Linked DNA regions of Tamandua tetradactyla. The protein of the gene in region 2 purifies or fractionates together with the protein of the main gene of each other region. This does not show direct contact. Links are inferred from orthologs where the notes say so. Each region holds a gene or a part of one and is shown on either strand. Other genes may lie near its edges.

Evidence for each region.
Region 1: the proteins of DPF2 (region 2) and SMARCC2 purify together in Homo sapiens (affinity purification with mass spectrometry; 8 studies listed by BioGRID and IntAct, counting the BioPlex papers as one, with this or other methods). This does not show direct contact. The link is inferred for Tamandua tetradactyla from reciprocal best matches to the Homo sapiens genes DPF2 and SMARCC2.
Region 3: the proteins of DPF2 (region 2) and ACTL6A purify together in Homo sapiens (affinity purification with mass spectrometry; 5 studies listed by BioGRID and IntAct, counting the BioPlex papers as one, with this or other methods). This does not show direct contact. The link is inferred for Tamandua tetradactyla from reciprocal best matches to the Homo sapiens genes DPF2 and ACTL6A.

Annotation. Positions count from the first base shown.
Region 1 is NC_135333.1:123,239,011-123,246,821, forward strand, and holds the start of SMARCC2 (SWI/SNF complex subunit SMARCC2), read right to left. Parts: upstream 4,158-7,811; 5' UTR 4,103-4,157; coding exon 3,992-4,102; intron 1,910-3,991; coding exon 1,790-1,909; intron 1,229-1,789; coding exon 1,143-1,228; intron 699-1,142; coding exon 617-698; intron 516-616; coding exon 423-515; intron 1-422. UniProt on the Homo sapiens protein: Involved in transcriptional activation and repression of select genes by chromatin remodeling (alteration of DNA-nucleosome topology).
Region 2 is NC_135335.1:9,217,989-9,225,799, forward strand, and holds the start of DPF2 (zinc finger protein ubi-d4), read right to left. Parts: upstream 5,156-7,811; 5' UTR 5,062-5,155; coding exon 5,030-5,061; intron 886-5,029; coding exon 725-885; intron 316-724; coding exon 208-315; intron 1-207. UniProt on the Homo sapiens protein: Plays an active role in transcriptional regulation by binding modified histones H3 and H4. Is a negative regulator of myeloid differentiation of hematopoietic progenitor cells. Might also have a role in the development and maturation of lymphoid cells.
Region 3 is NC_135331.1:77,894,788-77,902,598, reverse strand, and holds the start of ACTL6A (actin-like protein 6A), read right to left. Parts: upstream 4,302-7,811; 5' UTR 4,139-4,301; coding exon 4,114-4,138; intron 1-4,113.

The DNA.
Region 1 (7,811 bases), on a different chromosome or scaffold from region 2:
AAAGAACTGCAGATAATCCTCTGAACAGATAAACTATACATGGGAAATTTCAATTTAAAATCAAATGTATATCCATATCAATGATGTCTGCTTGTTATTATAAAGTTCTGAAGAGCAAGCATTTCATTTATTTAAAATTAAGTGATCTCCAGCTCTGTGAAAGTGGATGCTTCCCACCCCCACCCTCGACCCTAGCCAATGCAGTCTTTAGGACCAGTGATCAAAACCTGTTAAGTCTGGGAAATGGGAGAAACAGGAGGAAAAGAGAGGCTCAGGGCTTTAACTCAATTCTTTCTTGAAGCAGGTAGAGCCACCTCTGAGTTAAAGGTAGAAAACATGGTATTTCAAGGTTCCTGCTTTGTATGGAAAACATCAGGAAAAGAGTCATAGTTTATGAGACCTCTCCTGACCCACCCACTTACCTGGTGTCTCTTGATAATATCCTTTAATTTTCCTAGCAGTTTGGGCTCAATTTCTGGGCACAGAAAAATGTTAGGTCGAGATAAGCAGTTATTCTGTGGGGAGGAGAAACAGATGGGATGACATTATGGAGAAGAGTTGTTTTGGAGTCTCAGTGAAGGAATGGAAATGGATGGGGGAGGTTCGCGACCATTACCTGCACCAATGACTTCTCAATGGTCATGAACATTTCCACGTTGCGGTCCATGCGTGATGGATTCTGGAAATCGTAACGCCGCCTTGCAAAGAGGCAATAATCTAGTGAATGGTATAGCTGAGGTCTGGGGATGAGGTTAGTGTATGTGACTTCTTAATATGGGAAATTAGGAGGTGCTTTTGCTCACAGCTGTTGCCAAAATCACCTGGGATCTGGGATTCACTGATCTCAATTCCTTGAATCACCCTGTGCTTAGTCCAAAAGGATTATGAAAAGCTTGAGAAGGCAACCTAAGAATCCTATTCCCTATACCCACTGATATACACACGTATATACTTGCTCACTCTTGGAGACTATTTTGGTTCTGATTTTTCTGACCTAGTAAATCAGGCCTACTGACCTAGCAAAGCAAGAGACTCACGAGGATTTCTACCTATTTTCTCCCACCCCAGAAAGATTCCAGGGAATCATAAAAGGGGATTCTCTCTAAATTAAACATAAGAAGCATAGAGAAAAGGCATCTCACCATCCCTGGTCACTCTTGAATTTGTAGGCAGCTGCAAGTATATGGCACAGGGAGCCTCCTGCTTTGAAATCTAGGAAACATTTGATCTACAAAATTGAGACAAGAAAGAAGTTTATGAGAGTTATATCTTAAATTCTCATCAGCTAACAATCCTTTCACAAAATTCTATGTTGATCACCCTCTTAAGATGGAATTCTTTAACCCTTGTGCTATTGTATCATGTGGCTTAGAAGAAAGAAGGGAAAGAAACCAAAATTCATAAGGCATCACCTTGTGCCAAGCACTTTCCAGGAGTACCACATTTATCATTACAAAAACTCTAAAAGGTAGGTATTATTATTCCCAACTAGAGATGAAGGCATTAAGACTCAGAAGGGTTAAATGGCTTGTCCAAGATAACAGAGCCACCAAGGGCCAGAGCCAAGATTTGAACACAAGCAAATCCAAATCTCATACCTGTTGCACAAAGTATTACTAAGACAAAAGGAATAATAAATTAGGGACTAGACCAAGCCAATGATGCCCTGACAAGGGGTAGGAATGGTAGTAAATGACCCAAACTTTAAAAAGTATAAAATTTACAAATATACAAAAAAGTAAAATTCCCTCTCCAGTTTGGAGTATGTATACCTTGGTTTTGCACTCACCGGCAGTTTAGTGAGAGGTGCATTGCTGACATGTTTGCCAAAAACTTCTTCCTGAAATTGTAGCAACTGTACCACCAGGCTAGACAGGGACTTGTTGGTGGGTGGTTCAGCTTGTATATACTAGGGAAATGGGAAAAGCAAAGAAAAACAGACCCCAGATAAATGATCTACCACCTCCCATATTTCTCTCCCAGGAGTTCTAGAAGCATCTAGGGCAGAGAAAATAGTGCCTTTCTCCTCGGATGCCTAGTTCTGTAAAGAAAGTAGCAGAAAGAAGGCCCCGATCAACCCTTATCAGGAAGCTGAATTCCTCCTTCCACTAGCCAGATTGCTAGTGTTGGGTGCTGGAGATGTAAGAAACTTCCTACTCTTCCCTCAGCAATACCTTGAAATTACAGGACCCTGTTACAGGACCCTGTTATCTTGACACCTGATCTCCAGTCAGGAACACCAAGGGTTCTAAAATTCTGAAGGTATATGGAGTTCAGGCCAGGGAAGCAATATCTTTGGGGCTCACTATGCAGGCCAACATTGTATTTCTTGGGGGAATTTTGTGGAAGGCCAAGTTTCCCCCTATAATGTAGCTTAATGAGGCACAAGGAAGTGAGGTAGGGTAAGCAGACAGAAAGAATATGCATTTGGCTTCTGCTAGGAAGTGGGTACAAATGTCTTCGTGCTAGCTGTAGGCACTCCTAGATGGGAAGGATCAGCTACTACTTTTCCAGTAAGGAACAGTAATGCAACATCTGTCCTTTATGAGGAAACTATATCTGAGATGCAACTCAGGGCCTTCTTAGCCATAGCCATATTAAGCTACCTAGCAACCTAGCCTTCTGTTCTAAGTTAAAAACAAGCCAGAAAGCTAACTTTCTCTTTACCTTTTGACCTCTGTTTCCTCAACCCTAATCACAGAGAAGAGAGCTCATCTCAGTGGGAGGTGTAAGGAGATCAATGAGTGAAAAGGTAAATGACAAGAGCTAAGAGCATGAAAGCTGAACCAGGTCACAGGCTGTCAATCTCCCCAGGGCCAGGGACTAAGCCCAAAGCCTGATCTCTCTTCCAAAAGTCAAAGTAGAAGCCTGGGAACAAGACCCTCACACTGGGGTGAAGATAAGCACAGATCCAGCAGCTGTTTGTCAGAGAGAGATCCTGAGAACAGGGCCAGACTCATAACCAAGATCACAGAGGGAGTCCCCCTAAATCACCCATCACACTTCCACTTCTGACAGGCTGCAAAGTTGGGCAGGAAGAGCTAGGAGGCTGAAAGAAAGCCAGAAAGAGAGCTCTTAACTCTCTTTCTGGGGGGTAGTGAGAAGGAAGAGAGGCAGATCATCTCCAGAGAAAACCCTCTCGTATAGCTGCTCCTGTCACCAGGCTTAAAGACAAAGACACCAGTAAGAGGTTTGGTGGAAAAGACAGGTAAAGCTTCTTGAACCCTTTGTTCACTACCTTATCACCTCCACTTATGGGATGGGGATGGGGAGGGTTAGAGGAATGGAACTCCTCTTAGGTTCTGAACCCCAAAGCCAATGCAATGCAAGACTAGCTTGCAGGGTGACTTCATTATGAAGGTGAGGAATGGTTTAAGAAGGGGCCGCTGCCCAGGAAATCTAATACACTAGTACCCATAGAGGTTTGTTGCCGCTTAGACGGAGGTGGGGGGTGAGGAGCCGGGAGACAGGTGATTTGGGTTGGGGGCCTTTCTCAGGGTGATGAGTAGCTAGGGGCCTGCTCTATGACCATTTACCCTCCCGCTTTCATCATCTCTCTCAACACACACAAAGCACCAGGGAGGCCTCAGCCCTGCTGGTACCTGGCTCCGTGGGGAGCTCTGGCGCGCACTGTGGCGGGCACGTTTGGCCGACCCCGTCCACCCCTAGCTGTCTCTCGGAGAAGCCGGGAAAACGATGGCTTCGGAGAGGATGGGCTGCTGGCATCGGGCCCACCGGGGCAATGGAGAAAAACAAGGGGCAGAGGGGGATGCGGGGGCTGAATTCAGAGGCTGGGGGTGTAAAATGGGCTGGGGCAGGGGCGCAGGGCGCCAGGCGGGGACCGGGAGCGGCCTGGGAACTGCTCAAGGCCGCCGGGCAGGAGCCGGAGGCGGCAGGAGGGTGGGCAAGATCCGGGAAGGGGCTTCGGGGCCACGGCCCCTTTGTCCCGCCCCCAGCACCCCCCACGGGCCTGCCCGCCGGGGCCGCGTACCTTCTTGTAGTTCTTGCCAAGCCAGAGTCGCACGTTGTCGAACTGGGTCACGGTGTCCGCGGCCTCGTAGTACTTCACGTTGGGGCCACCGTCCTTCTTCCGCACCGCCATCTTCTCAGGCTCCGGCCCCGCCGCCGCCGCCGCCCGCCCCGCTCAGCTCAACTCCCGCCTCCTCCGCCCGCCTCCCGCCGCCTCCCGCCGCCGCGGCCGCCGCCTCCCGCCGCCACGGCCGACCCCGGCCCACGTAGCGCCCCCTGCCGGCAGGCCGGGCGCAGAGGCGGCAGATTGGCCCCACGCGTGGACCGACCCCGGTGGCCTTCCCGGCCGCGGCGGCGGTGGCAGCGGCGGCGGTGGCGGCAGCCGGAATCTCCCGGGACACGGCTGTTTCCTGGAGGGGGCGCCCACTCTGCTGAGATCGCTCCTTAACTGACGCTAAGCCCTTTCTCTCCTTTGGCCTCCTCTGCCCGGGGGATGGGGAACCTCTCTATTCTACCTCAAGGGGACGTCCATCGCCCTCAACCCTGGAGCCCCGAGTTTTTCTCATCCTTGCACATCTCTAATTCCACAGAAGCTCAAACGCCTTTTCCCAAAAGGTTTCTTCCTTTCATCCCTCCCCAGCAGCTCTCCCTTTAAACTTTCGAGGATCCCTCACCCTTGACGTCTTGTCCAGGGACCGTCCTCTCACCCTTTAACCCGAGGAGTTCCCTGGCCGCCACCCTGGAGTTCTAGTCCCTTCCCACCAACTGCTTCCTCTTCAGGCCCCGCTATCAAATCCTAAATAGTTTTCGCTCCTTGAGACCCCTCTATGCTAGGCGGGAGACCCTACCTTCCAGAACCATCTTGTCCACCTGACTTTTTTCCTTTGAGGGGCCGAAGAGGAGGTAAGAAGAGGGAGGGCCACAGCAGAGGGGTCGGGTCCTAGCTTCCAGTTGTACTTCTTGCCGGGTCAGAAGTTGAATCCCTTCTGTAAGCGCGCGGGAAAGCGCGATTTTTGGGAGTCACGGTGGCCGAGTGGTTAAGGCGTTGGACTCGAAATCCAATGGGGTTTCCCCGCACAGGTTCGAATCCTGTTCGTGACGGCAGCGGTTTTTGTTTGCTTTACCTTCACAACTCATAAAGGGAGTCCCAATCCCCAAAAGTGACTTTCTTGCACTTCTCTTTCTGTCTCGGAAAGGAAAGCCAAAGGTTTCACCTCTGGATTTTTTTTTTCTTTTTTTTCTTGTGGTGGTGGAGCAGTATGGGGAAGGAAGTCACAGGAAGCTTAATTATGCACAGTTGTATTGGCTGCTAGGCTACACGGCACTTTAAGTCTTATTAACTGTGTTGCCAGCAGAGTGTTCGGCGCAAGTTTCATTCTTGTGAGAGAGGGTAGTAAAGAATTTGAATGAAGAGGGGTGTTTCAATTTTGTTTGAGAATGTGAGTGCTTTTCTCTGTAATGATAGTCAAACCTAGAGTTTCTAGGAAAAGAGGGCACCTCTGTACTTCCATTACTATATTACACTTTGTGGGTTTTATTACACTGACAACCCACGAAACAGGACATTCTCTCACTCAGATGTTCTTGAGGAGATAAACCTCAGGCATCACAGAGCTGGGGTTGGGGGAACCTATTGAAACAAACACTAAAGAGCTGGAGCCAGGGTTTGGGAAGTTAACTGTCTGTCACTTTTTGTGTTCTCCTTAAGTGCCAGGCCCTGTTCTAAATTCTCTTTGTATATTAACCAAGCTAGGACCTATAAGGCTCCTGTCCTCACCTCACCTGGCTCTTCCTATCCTCTAATGTCTGTTGTGGGAAAGAGCTAGGCTGCTTGTTGAGAATGTTTTTGTGTCAGTTCATTCATACCTTTGTTCATGCTGTTTTGTGGATTGCCCTCACCATTGCCCACCTCTTCTCCCATCATCATATCTTTTAAGCCCCTCTCTGCTGTGCCTCATCATTTCACCTGCAACCTATTGGTCTACTACCACCATTCCTGAGTTGTATGCAAGGCATCTCCCTTGACATGCCTCCATAAAATATATAAAAACAAGTCTTACTTATTCTGTCTTCTAAATATGTCTCAAATCTGTCTACTTCCTTCAGGTGTGAGTGCAGGCTGAGCCCACCACATACTACACCAAGGTACTTGGGCTTTCATCAGGAAAGTAGGGTTAATTTAAAACTGCACTAAAGATGGGTACTATAGCCTGAGACCTTAAGCCCCTGATGGCTGCTGTTTGTCTGCCCTTTGTCTTGCATGATCTAGCCTCTTTCACCACTCTTCCATATTCACTATATTTCACTCACTGCCATTCTTTTAACTTCTGCTATAGTATGTGGCCTTGCCTGTACTGTTTTCTGCATGAATTGCTCTTTCTCATTCTCACCTTCCACTCAAATGTTGGTTAAATGTTGGTTAAGCCTCCACTTAAATGTTGGTTCTCGTGGGGAGTCTTCCCTGATCAGATATTGCTGAACATATCCTATGCCTTAACTTTATTATTTGAAGTATAGAACATAAACTCAGGCGCATATAAGCCACAAAATGAAAACAAAAAACAAAAACAATATTTGTTGAATAAATGGATGTTTTTACAGTAATTATGTGTACATGTTTTAATTGTCACTTGGACTGGACTTCTTTAGACTTAGGCTGTCTTTCACAATGCCTTATCTGTAGATGTAATCAAATATGTATTAAATAAATTCATAGAATCTAGTAGGCTCAGTGCTCTGCTTCCTACCAAATACCATTTTGCTCATACTCTTAGACTTAAAAACAAGACCAAAATTGACCAGCAGAGGGCAACCAATAACTGTGTTGTGAAGGGATGGCAGCTCCATGGTTTACAAAATGGAGGATTTGGACTGAGAAGGAGAATGTGGCATACGGGGTTTGGCACTTGGGGACTATCCTGTTCACTCTCAGATGCCTCCCTTGTAACTAACTTTTGAGTGTTACCTCTATCTTCATGAATAATAGATAATTTCCAAAAATTTTACCAAATTTTTACCATCTCCATGGCCCCAGTTCTTTCACCTTTCCCCTGCAAATTCTGTCCTTGTATCTTTGTGTTGCATGATCTGGTCCCCTTTCTCTTGCCACGCTTCTGTATTTACTACATTACATTCACCGGCATTCTTGAGTTCCTGGTACAGTATTTGGCCTTGCTCATCTGCCCTCAACCTTCTATTCCCATCATTTCAACCTCCTAAGGAATTTTCCACAAGCATCCCTCCATAACACCTTCAAATTCTCCTACTCCTCTGGATCAATCCTTCCTGAATTCAGAACAAAATCACACCTTCACTTGACACTGCCAAATCACATTGTTTTCTACTTCCTCTTATTTTGCAAATAAAATGCATACCCTCTGCCTCCAGCTCCACACTATCTTAATACCCTGCCATCTTGTTTCTGCCTCCTGCTTTTAAAAAGACGTTAATAGAAACACTGGCCAAATTCAATAGTCTTTTCTCATTCTTAAACTTTTGCTATGTTTGAAACATTGGTTTCTTTTAAAAATCTTTCCTTGTTTGTTTCTAGAGACATTGTGTTGTCTTTCTCCTACTCAGAACACTGCTTCCCCATCTCTTTTTTTCTCTGTCCTTCTGTGGAAGTCTACTAAAGCTTCATTCTCCTTCCTTTCCCTAAGACAATATCCTAAGCCATCTTTCCACGTGTACAGCCAAACCATGGTCCTGTATCTCTAGTTGCCTATATATCTGCATAGCTGACCAACGGTCACCTAAAACGCAAATTTCTCTTCCTCTCCTAGAATTGCATTCCCAACTTTTCCATTTCTGTTGGCACTATTCTCTCAAGTCTTTCTAGTTTC
Region 2 (7,811 bases):
AATGACTGCCTTCAGTTCTCCGATTGCCCCCAAGGCAAATGGTACCATAATTACTCTGTTTACCTATATGTCTCCCTTACTAGACAGTTCTCTACAGGAAAGAATCACATCTTTTTCATTTTAGCCTCTTCAAGCTCTAGGATTGGGCCTGGTGCATAATACATGATGAGTAGGCCATGACCCTGCTCAGGGCAGGGTATGTCTTACCTGGTTTAATAGATGGAAAGGAAAGTCGTGGATCCTCAGGGGGGTGGGCTCGCCGCTTCTTCCGCCAGCGCCTGGCAGGGTAGGAGTACAGCTGCCCAGAGGCCAATCCTGTGAGAGGAAGAGAGAAGTCAAGTCCTAACCTAGTCCTACAAGATAACACCAAAACACTTTTTAGATGAGTAGCACCTCCCTCCCCCTTCAGTTTCAGAATAGGGGAGGATTACGGACGGCAAGTGCCTGGAGGATGAGGTAGTATGTCATAAGGAAAATTAGATATAAGCTCAAGGGTTTCGGCAAACACACAGCTTTCCAGAAGCCTAATAAAGGCCTATGCAAGGCAGAAAACAAAAATGCTATTACGAAACTGTCTGCCTCTTCTTCTTTGGGCTTCTAAGCATATTCATCAAAAGGTGGAAAGCAGCTGGGAACACCTCCTTAGCTGGCTCATCAGCTAAGTTGAGGAAACATCTTCCTCCTCGTGCTCCTCAGTCCCCTTCCTCCAAGTTTGGAACCTTACCTGGACCCCTGTGCCGCTTTTCCATCCAGATATAACAGTTACTCTGGGCCACTCCAGTCTGTGAGTCCAAGAAAGGCAGGCGCACGCTGCGCTCGGCACAGAGGCGGGCATTGTAATTGTGGCACTGTTCCATAGCATCTTTGTAGTATTGTTCCCCAAGGCTGCAGGAAAGGTAAAAATTGGGGGGCAGGGGTGGGGGTGGGATATCTCAGCACCCCTCCCATGCCATCTGCTTCTCTAGAAGACTCAAGGGGTTGGGAATGTCTCTTCAGTTCTATTTGCCTCCGTCTCTGCCTCATGGGACACCAAGCTGCTTCATCAAGTTATCAAGAAGAACGGCACTGTACAACTAAATTGCAGCCAGGAACTCATGATTTCATCATGTATCTAATAAGACTGAACTCTCATCCACAAAGAGGGACAGAAACTAATGCTCACTCTGTTTCACATGAGTCCTGCCCCATGCTAGCTATGGTGTTATTTCTCTTAACTCCCAATGACTCTTGAGAATCAGAAGTTAGTGCCTTACAACTGAGGAAAAGAGTTCAACAAGGTGTGGAGGACTTATTAAAATACATTTAGCAAATTACAGTATTCACATACAATGAAATTCTAATCAGTCACAACAAAAGGAAGCCCCACCTGTACAAATATTGAACAATCAGATATTGAACAACTGTCAAGATAATTTTGGGGAAAAAAGCAAGGTATAGTGCTAGGAAGTACTACAGGATGCTACCATTTCTATAACAAAGAGGGAGGAAAAGAAACTTCAGGCCTCTAGGGAGAAAAACTGGGTGACTAGATTTTCCCCTATATGCCTCTTAATATCTTTTGGATTGTGAACTAAATATTTAGCCAATTAATTTTCTCTATATATTACATTAACAGTATATGGAAGGCATCTGCAAAGACCCGAACTTTCCTTGAGCCTATTTTTGATCGAGGACTATGCTAATACAAAACCTATGAGCTCTAAGGCCCATCCTAGGTTCCTCAACATTTCCAGACCATCAAATTACATAGGAAAGAATCTTCTCGACTCAAAACGATTAACTTGAAATCCAAATCAAAGGAAAACATTTAAGTGCTTAAAAAGCTAGAAAACTACACAGGACCAGGCATTGTCTGGTTACAAGAAACATGCATGTGGAATCAATTTTGTTCTTCCCTTCCAGGGTTTAATAAGTGCTTTCATATTGGAGCTTAACCTAACTGTAACAATACTTATTTATATTTGATCTACCTTAAAACAAAACAAACTGAGGATTGAGGTGATTTATTTCCCAGTTGTAACCCCAGTACCCATGAAGGTGTCTGGTACATGGTCAGACCTGACTTGAGAGTAAAAAGACCTGGTTTGGCTGCAGGTCACCACATACACATGGCCATTTCGTCAACCTATGTGGACCTCATGTTTCTAGTCTATAGACCAGGGGGTGCGGGGGGTAGACTAGATAAGCTTTGACATATCAGGATCCTGTGAGAGGGGACTCCTAGTATGAGAAGCTAGACAGACCAAGTCTCTATTGCTTATGTCCATAAGTCTAGCTACCCCAGCAAACTCTGTTCTGGAATCTGATGGGGGCTTTCATTGAGTGCAGTGCAACAGGAAAATACAGCACAGCTTAGTGTGTGCCCAGCAGCTGAAAAAGATACATACCACACACACAGACAGCGACCCCAGAAGTACAGCCTGGCTTGATTCAATAAGCTATAATTACCATAATTTGAGGTAGGCACAAACCTTGTGTTGGAGAATGGTGAGAAAGGAGCAGGCTCACATTTGCTTGCCTTTAGGAGGCAGCCACGTCCTCACCACAGAGGGAAATTGGATAAACAAGGCTGAGTGCAGCAGCTCCTTTGTTTCTGCTGATGGGAATTGATACTGACACTTGGAAGCCAAATGGAAGGAAGGGCAGACCGGCTGAGGGCTGCAAAGTCAGAGCAAGGAGGCTAGAAATGGTTTCTGAGGAATGGATGAGAGATGTTCTGTAAAAGCTCTTGTGAGTTAAGTGGTATTTCAAAGGGTGGGGTAAACTGTCAAAGGGGGTATGAGGGCTGAGAATGAAATATTTAAGGGGCAGGGAGGATCTAATGAAGAGCAAGCAAGAAAGGGAGAAAGAGAGCTTCTAAGAACTCAGGGCTCCTGTAGCAAGAAATTCCAAGCAAACAGAATTTCCCAGATTTTGTTACTTAATTCCGTTTCAAAATCTGTCAGCAGCTACAGCTTTTTAATACTATCATTTTATCTTGGCTTCTCTTTGGTAAGATTCCTTAAAGACTGTTTCAATCCTGAGACCATTTAGGATGGACAGAGAATTCACAAATAGGAAAATTCTCTCAAGAATAAGATGCAAGCAAGAAAATACCTGGCTGGATATAACCTCAGGTGTCAAAAGACAGGACACACATGATCAAGAGAAGTGCCAGAAGAGCAACTCTTTGCAGGGTGAGAATGGGACAGGAAGAATGGACACCTACTCTTAAAGAGGAGGTGCCGGGGGAAACGTATTAACTGTGGTCTGCAGCCTTCTGCAGCTAGAACTGAGGAGGGGAAAGTGGGTTTCTTATTATCCATACTCAGGAATCAGTGGCTGGTGACCCTCACAATCTCTACAGGTCTTTAAAGAAAAATGAGAAGTCATGCTCTATTTGCTACTACCTTCTGACAACACAGGAAATAATTGGCAACCCTGTCTCCCTGAAGAAAGTTTTCCAACACAAAGACCCTCATTACCTACAACTCTCAAAACCTAGGCAAGCATGACATTCCTTCGGCACAGCAAGATTTCCAAGGTGGCCGCTTTGACTCTTGGGAAGCGGGAAATCTGTATAACATCTTCCCTTAGAATGGGAGTGGGGGAGTCAACAATGAGAAGGGCAGAGAAACAAAGACAGAACGTCTGAGTCAGGAAGGATAACTATATAAATGGCAGATCAACATTGTCATTGCTAAATTGAGGAAAATGTCAGCCTGAAGAGAGAGCAGGGAAACTAGAGTGGGCAGATCAGAGAGAAAGATAATGTGTTGGGAGGAGGGGTGGCTGAAAGAGGTAGCAGGATAAAGCAGAAAGCAAGTCAAAAAAAAAAAAAAAAAAAAAAAGAACCACAAGAGGAGAAGGCACTTAGCTTAATGGAAGTGGGAAACTCCAGGCAGGGGGGAGAAGAAAAGCTCCAGGCATTGGGGAGAAGCAACATATCCTTTAAAAAGGCTCTTGGGAAATGTGGGGCTTAGCCCATGACAAAGACAGAGAAGCTGTCAGTCCTTTAGAATAGTTCCCAAACCTAAACTTAGAATAGTTCTCAAAATCTAAACGGCTTGCTGGACAGGTGGATGCCTCTCAATTTTCCAACTCCTGCACCAAGCCCAAATTATCCATTAAAAACAGCTTGCCTACCGGCCCACGGGGCATTAAGACATTTCTAACCTCATTCAGAATCCTTTCTTCAGGAAGGAGGTTGGATTAATCAAGCCCCAAAGCATCTTTAACTCACAGGAAGCAACCAACAGGCCATTCTCCATTTCTCTCCCAACCATCAACTTTAATTCTGTTCGAAAACTGACCAGCACAATGGTACAGCATAGGAGAAGACTGGCGACCCAGATGTCCCTTCAGGCTATAAAGTCGTCCTGGACTGCTCCCGTCCAGTTCCCGTTTGTTTGTTTGTTTGTTGATGGCTGGGAATGGCCAGCACAAAGGCCAGCTCCTCTGAAGTTCTTTCATTTCTGCTTTCCAACAAATTCTTCCCACTACCATCTTAAGTCCTGGGTAGCAGACACCCAAGGTACCCCGACGTTATGGGGCTGTTAGAATCAAACAGCCCCACGGCCCTTTTCCCCTTCAGCGGCTCCGGAGCCTGTTGCTCGGGGGCCGGCTGCGGGCAGCGACTGGGAGTCGCGGGGAAGCGGCTCAACTCCAGGGCTCCGGACCGTCGCCTGGGCCGCCCGGGCCTCGGCCCAGCCCCTCCGGACGGAGGCGACCCGGGGAGAGAGCCTCAGCCTGCGGACCTCTCGTAGGCTGCAAGGGCGCCTACGTCAGCCCTGAAGGAGCGCTCAGTCCACACAGCCCCACAGAGACTCCGCCGTAAGGGGCTCCCGTGTGCCCCCCACAGGGCCTCCCAAGTTTCCAAAGAAGCGCAACGTCTTCTCCGGAGTCTTCTGTTGCCCTCCCCCGCCAGGAGTAGCAACATGGCCTTCCCAGGCATATTTCTCTCTCCGCCTCATCCCCTCCCCACACCGCCTCCACTCCCAAGCCCCTTACAAGACCTCCCGATCTAGGGGAGAAAGAAACGACCACTCACAGCTTCACTACATTTTCCACCACAGCCGCCATCTTCCCTGCTCCTCTTCTTCAGGAGGGGAGGCCCGGGAGCCCGCAGCGCGCAGGCGCCGGGCACGCTCGGGGTGGGGGCGAGTTTCTCCGTTCTTTTGCGCAGGCGCTGGCCAGGCGCGCGCGCGCGCCCGAGAACGAGCGAGGGGGAATGAACTTCGCCCAGGCTGGGGAGAAACAGTGTGAGGGAGCCGAAGGGAGCCAACGCGCAGGCGCGACGGGAGACGGGCGCGCGCCCCGCTGCTCCTGCTCCAGCCCAGCCGCGCCTCTTCCATTTAGACCCCTCCCGAGAAAGGGCTGTAGGGAGCACCTACGTCTTTCCCCGAAGCCGACCTTTAACCTCATGTTTAACCCTTTGCCCTAGGTCAGAGCTTGGTGGGCAGCTAACTGAAAATAAGAACATTCACAGTCCGCTCTTGCCCACAAACGTGTGTCCATTTTAGGGAGTTAACATCCAGAGCTGGACATTTGTTTGGCCGGAATATTGGGGTCTGACAAAAGTTACCTCATCTTCCTGCCACCAAACCCTCCCACCGAAAGTCTCTGGTACCCACCTCTTCTCCCCGGTCCTAAGACCAGTCCCTACCTACTCCTCAAAAAACTTTATTCCCTCCAACATAGACTCTGAAGAACTTCCCTCCTGTAATTATCCTTCACTCTTCTGTACCATTCATTTCTGCACTGTGAAACATTCTCCTCCGCGTACAAGCATGGCTCTATGTCCCCTTATTTAAAAAAAAAAAATCAAAAGCTCTTCCTTAAGCCCATGTTTGCTTCCCTTATCACTCCCTTTCTTTTCATCCCTTCAAAGCAAATAATCCCTTATTCCCCCATCTCTGCTGTTTTATTTCCATGGCTCTCTTCTGGCTGGTTTAATGAAAGTTTTGTACCCACCAGGCCCCTGAAACGGCTCTTCACAAAGTCACTGTGACATCCATCGCGACAGATTTGGAGGGCTGTTTCCTGTCCTCATCCACCTAGCAGTCTGGTGTCACCATTGACCATTTCCTCCTTTTTCGAACGCTTCTCCAGTCTGAAACATCACACGCTCACGGCTGTCCGACAGTCCCTTTGGCGTCTTTTGCCAGCTCTGTGGCCCACCTATAACCATCACACTCCCCAGGGCTTGCTCCTTGGTCCCCATTATTTTTCCGATATATCTTATCAATGCCAAGATGCACTTACCACCCCCCACCCCTTTTACTATTTCAGAATCAGGCTGCATTCTGCCATCACTGTGTGTTAAAATGGTACTTGGCCAGATGACAGTGTGAGTTATCATGCTGTTCTCTGCAGCAGCACCAGAATTTGCAGAATGGCTGTCACACCTTGGAAGAAAAACCCCAAGGCAACACCGGTGCACTCTTTTACCTCTGAGATCCAAACGATTGTGGGGACAAGGGGCATCAAAAGTGACTCCAACACAGGAGTCGAAAGTATGCTAGCACTAAAGTTAAACTCACAGCTTCAGCATACCTATGATCCAGCAATTCTATTCCTAGATGTATACACCAAAAGACAAGAATGTTCACAGCAGTAGTCTCCATAATAGCCCCAAACTGGAAACAACCCAAATATCCACCAACAGTAGTAGAATGGATTAAACATCAATGGAAAAGACAAGCTGCTGCTATACAACGTGAGGGAATAGTAAAAACTTAATGTTGAACAAAAGAAGCCAGATTCCAAGAAGACAAACTATATGATTTCATTCACATAGTTACACAAGAAATCAGATAAACTGACTGTGGGGCCAGAAGTCAGAAGAGTGGTTATCTTTGGACAGATGATAACTGGGAAGCGGGTACGAGGTGGCTGTGAGAGGCTGCTAATGTCCTTTTTCTTTACATGGGTTTGTTGACTTTGTAAAAAATCATTGATCTGCACAAGATTTGTGCACTCCTCTCTATGCATATTTCAATTAAAAGTTTAAATTACAAATATGAGTAATAATTAGTAGGCTAGTTCTACATCATGGGAAAGCCGGTTTCTGAGCCCAGCATCAATGACTTTCAGTACTTTTAGGATCCTTTTAAGAAATGTCATATCTCTGAACACAGAATATAGTGCTTCTCCTACAGGCAGAATATGTGGGTATGGGAACCAAAGAGCAGAAGTGGGACTCATCCCCTTGCAGTCTCAACTAATGATCCTTTTGCACAATGTCTGTTTCCTGTTCCTCCAACTTTGGGCTCTGGCTGATTTAGAGTCAGATTTTGACCCAAGGGAGAAATGCTTCCACCAGAGGGTGCAATAACGATTCCACTAACCTAGAAGCTGAGACTGCCGATGGGTCATTCTCAGTGCCACCAGGCAAGAAAGTAAAGAGGGTCCCCACTGATGGCCAGAGTGTTAAAATAGTCGTAGCAAAATGGCAATAACTGGCCAATCTAGATAAAGGTATAGGAATGTTCGTGAATCTATTTTCAATGTTTCAAAACTAAATGTTCTGGGGAAAAGTCAACTCTCTACAGGGAAATCCACCAAGAGCTCAGATTACTTCAAAATGAAGTTCGGAGACACATCGCTGGTAAAGGACCCTGACGGCCAAGATGCTGATGGAGGATAAAGAGTTCGTGGACTGGGTGGCTACAGCTTTGTGGTAGAAAAAGTCCATAACTTGTACATGTATTTCTTCTCTTGATGCAACAAGTATTTTATTTAAACATATTCTAATTCCAGATTTTTTCTCCCTTTCCCCCACTTTGTCTTGGTATTAATTCATCTTACAATGTAGTTTCATAATTTGCAAG
Region 3 (7,811 bases), on a different chromosome or scaffold from region 2:
CAACTTTTTATGAATCCGTTCTCAGAATGTTTTAAAACAGATTACAAAAGAAATCAATTATTATAAAATACAGTTCAAACGAGGGACTCCCTGGGAAGGCCATGGACTTCATATTAGCAGCAGCTCCCCCAATTTATCCTTTCCTAGGTGATTCCCCAACATCCTTAAAAATTTCAATTTCTATCTAAACACTGATAATCCTAATTTCAAATGTCTCTCTTTTAAACCCTAACCTCGATCCAGATCTAGATCCTGAACTTCTTATCCTACATCCATATCAATTCTACCTGCTGTCCCATGGGTATATGAAGTTGAACATATGTGAAGCACTGCCTTCCAACCTGCCTACTTCATCTCTCAGCATTCCCTATCGCACTTGGTGGCCTGTCAAAGAGGCATGCTGTACATCTTTTTCATACCTCTCAGCAAGTTCTGTCAAATTTGGAAAAACAGCTCCTAAATACTTCTCAAATTCCCTTGATTCATGCACCAATGAACCTAAAGTAGAAAAGTGACAGGAAGCTTAACATCACAACCACAGAGGTCTGAATGTTTAAAACCTAGGATGAAACTTCCAATGGATTAAAAAAAAAATCCTCAATGACTGGATCCTTTTCCACTAAAAACACTGCTATCTCCACTTATTTGAGGATTTTCAGGGTTTTACCCAGACTAAATGGCTTCCAATTTTAGGGGTAATGGGATTTTCTTGAGGAAACATGAGAAAATGATGGTAATTTTCTAACCTGGTCTTAAGACATTCCAACAGGATACTAATGACTAATGATTTTGAGAGGGTGCAGGAAAGTGGTTATTTTTTTGTGTGGATGAAGACACAGCCAGGATTGGTAATTTCAACTCATGGGGGAGATGACTAAGAAATGATTAAGGTTAGAGATTCGGGCAGGAAAGCGGGGAAAGAGTGATGACACTAACAATTTATTAAAGTTGGGCTACAGTGGACGGCATACCGGTTTACTTCTGTCATGCAAAGGGACCTGAAGTAGAGGAGTACAGGGAAAGATAACAAACAGCAGTGAGTAGGCCCAGCAACTAGCTGGGAGATAAGGAAACCCCAGTGAATTATGCATTACACCTAGAGCTAAAGACAGATGTCAGATCTGTTCAGAAATAATTATTAAAATAAGACAACAATAAATTTTAGATTTTAAACTAGAAGGAGCTGTTTAATAATAAGCAAGCAGGTGAAAAATACAGTCAACCCTTGAGGGATGGGAAAAAAATATATGGAACTATTAAACTTTACCATCAGGGAATCCCCTGATACTGCTTCAAATATTAGGGACACCCAAATCAATAGGCCAAGCCTTTGATCTTGAGGCTTACTCTTGTGAAGCTTAAGTAGGTAGCAGAGAAGCTTAGCCTACCTATAGGTATACCTAAGAGTCACCTCAGAAGGACCTCTTTTGTTCCTCAGATGTGGCCTCTCTCTTTCTAAGCCCAACTCTGTAAGTGAAATCACTGCCCTCCCCCACGTAGTGTCATCCAGGGGTGAAAGTCTCCCTGACGATGTGGGAAAGGACTCCCAGGGATGAATCCCGACCTGCACTGTGGGATCAACAGTTCTATCCTGACCAAATGGGGGGAAAGAACTGTAATTAATAAAGTATCAGTGGCAGAGAGAGTTCAAATAGAGTCGAGAGGCTACTCTGGAGGTCACTCTCAAGCTTCAGTTAGACATATATCTATCATACCTTGCCAAATCCCAAAACCATTCCAGCCAATCCTAAAGAACACCTAGGGCAATATATAAGATCCTACAAAGGTTCCATGTACTGGGGTAACTTTCTAAAAACCTAACAACCTCCAGATAGGTTCCTGGACCACATAAGTCCTGAAACCTAAAGGGCCCAGCCTCTCCAGAACATCGCTGGTTCCATCTCCCTACCCCTTATTACTGACAGTCTCCTCCAATACGAAAAAGTTAGAATGGCCATAGCTCAAATATCCCTAAAGAGTGGGACAGAAAGATCAAAGGTGATGGTGGAGTTATACAGAGAAAGGTAGGGTTTAACAAACGAGTATGACTGCAGAATCATTAAACTGATATTTTAGTCTCCAGTATATTAGAGCAGCTAGAAGTAAAAACCTAAAATTGTGAAATTTTAACCCATACCAAATTCTGAAACCTGTTCTACAACTAACTGTTGTGCTGTGCTTTGAAAGTTATTACTTTTCTGTATATATGTTATTTTTCACAAAAAAGAAAAAAAAGTCAATTGTGATTATAAAAAAATATATATATTTATTCTTCTAGCCCCTTATACTCTGGTGCAGAAAGAAGGAAAAATCTGAGAGGATGATATGGTAGTCCATGACAAACTCTGGGATCTGAACCACTTGTGGAAGAGTGCTTTAAAAACTATTGCTTTTTTCTTTCTTTGCTTTGTATATATGTTATATTGTACAATAAAAAGTAAAAAAAAAATAGTCTAGTAAGTTATTTACACAACATTTAGGTGAGAGGTTTGCTTGCTTTTACATGGACAACATGTGTAAAAGGGAGACCCACTCTAAATGTTGGAAACAGTGATAGCTCAATCATAAAACATGCATTTATTTTTTGTGAATTCTAAACACTTAACTGTGAAATGATCTTTAAGACTCTACATAAGCCAACAAGACACAGGATGTTTATTACAAATACCTAAACCATACATGACCCAGTTTTTCTCTCAAGCTTGCATCTTCAGGCTAGGGGGAGAGTAATTGTGAGGATCCACGATGCCTTCTCCAAATTCCCATCATTCAGATATCAAAATCAAATAGGTAAGTGGAGAGAGAGCAAAGGTCTGTACTCCACTCAGAAGAGACACAAACTACAGGCCAAAAACTACTGAGAACTGTGAAAACATTATTTATCCCCTACTCATAAAATGTCATCCTTTCCAGAAACAATAACAGTAATACTTCCAATTTGTCTCCTTGTCCACTAACTCATCAAACAATGCAGAACACAAATCACAGACATCAGAGCTTCAAGTCTGCCAGTGGTCTTCTAAAAATGAAGGCTCAGTGGAAGGCTGAGGATGGGGCCTGAGATTCTGCGTTTCCAAAAAGCTCCCAGGTGATTCTGGCTGTTGGTCTATGCATCACACCGGCACCCTTAGGTCACACGTGTTCCTAAACAGACCTGCCCACGTAACTCCAGAGAACCCAGTGAACATGGCCAGGCGTTATTGGAGGACATGAGGCCACGCCCATTCCACATGGATCTGGAGGAGGAGGAGGAGTGTGAAGAGGACCAGGAGGCAGAGAAAGAGAGGGAGGGAGAGGTGGAGAAGGAGAAGGGGGAGGAGGAGGCAGAGGAGGGGGGAGAAGGAGGAGGAAGGGTGGGAGAGGAGGGAGAGGAGGAGGAAAGAAGGAGCAGGAGGATGAGCAAGCCCTCTATGTGAACTAACAGGAGGAGAGAGAGGTGAGGGAGGAGAAGGAGTAGGGGGAGGAGGAAGAAGGAAGGGGAAGAGCGGGAGGAGGAGAGGGAGGAGGAGGAGGCCACTCCACTTGGGCCAACAGAATGGGGAGGAGTAGGGGCAAGAGTAGGAGGCCGCTCCAGGCGGACACACAGGAGGTGGAGAAGTAGGGGCAGGGGGAGGCGGGGGAGAAAGAGGCGGCGGAGGAGGAGGAGGTGGAGAAGTAGGGGCAGGGGGAGGACGAGGAGGAGAACGAGGAGGAGGAGGCGGAGGAGGTTGCGGCGGACGAGTAGGAGGACGTGGACGAGGACGAGGACGAGGAGGATGAAGACGAGGAGGAGGAGAATGGGGAGGAGGAGCCCGCGCTGTCCGGTGCGCCCGCCCCTCCGTCGCGCGCCCTCGCTAGGCCGGGAGGCAGCCCTCCGCCCAGGCCTTTACACACCAGGACCTAGAAACACTGGGCGACGCGGCCGAGCGCGCCCCTGAAGGGATGGGGACTGGAGCCGGGCTCGGACCCTGGTAGGCGCTGCTCGCCCCTACCCAAGGTCGGCGCCTGCTCCTCGAGAGCCGGGGCAGGGGCGCTGGGGTCCGGGGTGAGATCCGAGGGGGCGGGAGGGAGGGCCGGCCGGCGGTTACACAGCCCGCGCCACACAAGGTGCTCTCCCCGGCCGCGCTCACTCACCTCCCCCGTACACGCCGCCGCTCATGGCCGCTGCTGGCGCGACCCCTACGCGGAGCCGCCAGGTGAAGGGACGTGTCCGGCTGAGGCTGGGAGGCGCTAGCCCCCTCCCTTAACTTCACAGCCGCCCCTCAGCAACAAAGCGGCGCCGCACACCGGCGCGCAATCACACTTGCTGGCTCTTCTCATCAACCAGTCGCGAGCGGGCCAGCCTTTTCCGCCGGCCAATCAGAACAAGGCTTGCTGTGTCCCTGCGACAGCTCCGTTAGTTTAGCCAATCGAAGGCCGCCATAGGGGCGGGGCGAGGGGGGAGAGCGACGGAAGGGCAGAAAGTTAGGTTGCGGAGCTGAAGAAGGCGGGACTTAGCAGGGTGGGCGGGGCCGAGGGAGCCTGAGAAGGAGGAAAGAGGAGGGAGGTGGGAGTTGAGGGGGGAGGGAAGGGCGGGAGGGAGGATGGAGGGGTGGTGAGGGGAGGGAGGGAGAGAGAACCGGAGGGGAGGGAAGGAGGTAGGGCGGAGGGCGGGGGGGCGGAAGGCGGGGGGCGGAAGGCGGGGGGCGGGGGGGGGGGGGGGGCCGCCCAGGGCAGCCGAGGAAGGCAGACCTCCGGCATCGAAGTCTGAGGTTGAGACGCTGCCTGTCCCTGGATACGGCAAACGGTTGTCGCTCTGCTGCTTCTCCAGGCTGGCAGCAGTTTGATCTCTAAAAACGCCCAAATCCGCCTTCAGTCTTTTACCGTTGACTTTGGTGTTACTTGTAGGTTTTTAATAAACGTCTTTAATTAGGTTGAGGAAATTGCCTTGAATACCTAGTTTTCTGAGAGTTGACATGACCATATGATGTTTCATTCTTTTTTCAGTTTGCTGGAATAGTGAGTTTCATTTATTGATTTTCAAATATTGAATCAACTTTGTGTTCTTAGGATAAATCCTTCTTGGTTATGATGTATCTTCCTTTTCGATTGCTTAATTTGGCTTGCAAATATTTTGTTTAAAAGTTTTAAGTCTGAATGGAATGATATCTTATTGTTTTGTTTGTTTGTTAATTTTTTTAATTAATAAAAAAATTTTAAATAAAGTTTTAAGTCTGTGTTCGTAAAATATTTTATTCTTTAAGAAAGAAAGATGCCCAAATCTGTTCATGTCTCTCCATTGCTCACACCTGTGAGATAGTTGCATAGCCTTCTAGCTGAAGTCAGTTCTGAAATTGGCAGGTCTAGAATCTATACTTAGGGTTATTCTTAAACTGATGAAAATTGAATACAGACTCATGAGTGATGGTGCTGTAGGGTGGCAGGAAGTGATGGAGAATGGGGTGGGAAACAAAACTAGTGAGAAAACCCTGGCCCATTCACTTTACCCAGTAGGATTGTATCACAGTATATTATATCACTTAAGAAATTTCCATTGACCCAGTGAGATGATGCAGGGGTTAAGCAAACTTTGGCCCATGGGCCAGAGCCCAACTGTCATCTGTCTTTGCATGGCCTGTGAGCTAAGCACTCTTAAATGGTTTTAAAAAAAAAATTGTTCTATGATGTGAAAATTATATGAAATTCAAATTTCAGTGACCATAAACTAACTTTTAATGTGATACAGCCAAACATCCATTTATGGCTGTATTCACTCTATCCAGGCAGAGTTGAGTAACTAACAGAGACCATGTGGTCCACCAAGCCTGAAATATTTACTAGGAAAAAGTTTGTTTAGTCCTGAAACAATGCATGTAACAAACTGAGCACAGTACACCTCGTTTAATAGTTGTCCCTTATTTACAGCTCTTATTCTAGCATATCAAATCCCCAAATCATTTTTACTTCCACTCTGTTTTTATGTTTGACTGATAAAGCTGATGACCTATAAAACATTGTGATCGTAAAATTGTGGAATTGTAACCCATACCAAACTCTGAAATCTGTTCTACAAGTAACTGTTGCGATGTACTCTGAAATTTACTGTTTTTTTTTGTAAATCTATTATCACAAAAAAAAAAAAGAAAAAGAGAGAGAGAAGGAGGAGTATAGCAAAGAAATAGGATTTAACAAATGAATATGACTGCTGAATCATTATATTGATATTTCTTTTGGTCTCCAGTGTCTTGGAGCAGCTAGAAGAAAAAAACAAAAAATTGTGGAACTGTAACCCATGCCAAACTTAAAAATCTGTTCTATAACTATTTGTTAAAATGTACTTTGAAATTTATTGCTTTTTTATATATATGTTCTATCTCACCTAAAAAAATTGTGATGGGTTGGTCTTGAATAATTAAATATTGAAGAGATAATATTTGTGAATTTATAATATGCTACAATCCATTTAAATTTTACATTCAAATGCATAGTAATTCATATACTGTAACTTAAATTTGATTTTATATATGGATATTGGTCATCAAGACTATCTCCCATGCATGTAGGAGAACATATTCTAGAAAAAAAATAGCTGTCTAGTCTGGCAAAGAGTGAAATGTCTGTCCTACCAGTTCAGAGTTACCAGAAACGAAACAGATCAGCAGTGTTGACAACTCCCCCACCCTCCCTTGAGTTGCAGTGCTCTAAAGGGAAGTTTGAAATGCTGTGACTGTTTCCTGCCACCATGCCCACACCAGGAGCAGTTCAAGATGTACTCAAAAGTTATGCTTGGGTATTTTTGCTTTGAAAGGAAGGATTTTTTTCCCCATTAGATAATTTGGAAAAATATTTAAAAACAGATCCTTACCTCTAGGTCAGCTTACTCCTTCATGTATCATTGGACTCTTGTTTCTATTTAATAATAAACCATTGAAATGAACTTCAAATGAAATTAACTGCACAGTATATCTGATGTGTCAGGGCTGATCAGATAAAAGTGCACACTTAAGCCTTTCATAAAATTTAATCACTAAACAGTGTATTATGGCATGAAGATGATTGGCCCTGAAGTATTGAATTGTTGGAAAAAAGGAAAATTGAGAAATAAGAAACCTATTCAGCAGCCTAAGAGAACAATGCTGGGGACTGCACATTCTGTGTAGTACTGACATTGTTTCCTCTGAGGCAAGACTTACAGTGTGCAAGCTTGTTTTCTTCTGTTCTTCCCAACTAGGAAAATTTACAGGAAATATGTAATAAGACAAATACAACAGAGACTCAGCAGAATACAAGTACATACACACACACAATCAGAGGTATTTTTGCATCAATATTTTTTCTGTAACCTAATACCTTCTTGCTAAAATTTCGGCTCAGCCTGCGTTAATGTTGTCAATAACAGATTAAACAGCAACAAGGACTCAAGGTTATTTCCTGGTATTCAGTCCTCGTGGGCATAACGTATCAAAATAATCAATGCTGGGCGGGCCACGGTGGCTCAGCAGGCAAGAATGCTTGCCTGCCATGCTAGAGGACCCGGGTTCAATTCCTGGTGCCTGCCCATGTAAAAAATAATAATAATAGCAATCAATGCTGCAGCCTCCTCCTCCCTCTCTGAGACACAATATTAGGTATGCCAACCTGAAAATAAAAGTTTAAATAACATGTATGCAAACTTATGTAGCCCCAGAAGGCGTTCAATGATTGATTCTCTATCTAGGTCTATAAAAATGAATGTCCATTCAGAAATCTTTTATAAAATCCAGTCATCAAGAATTCCCTCCGTACCTGGGTGCAATACTCGGTTTTGCCTCACTGGGTCGCTGTTCCCCAGTACTTGTAAATTTGTACCAGGC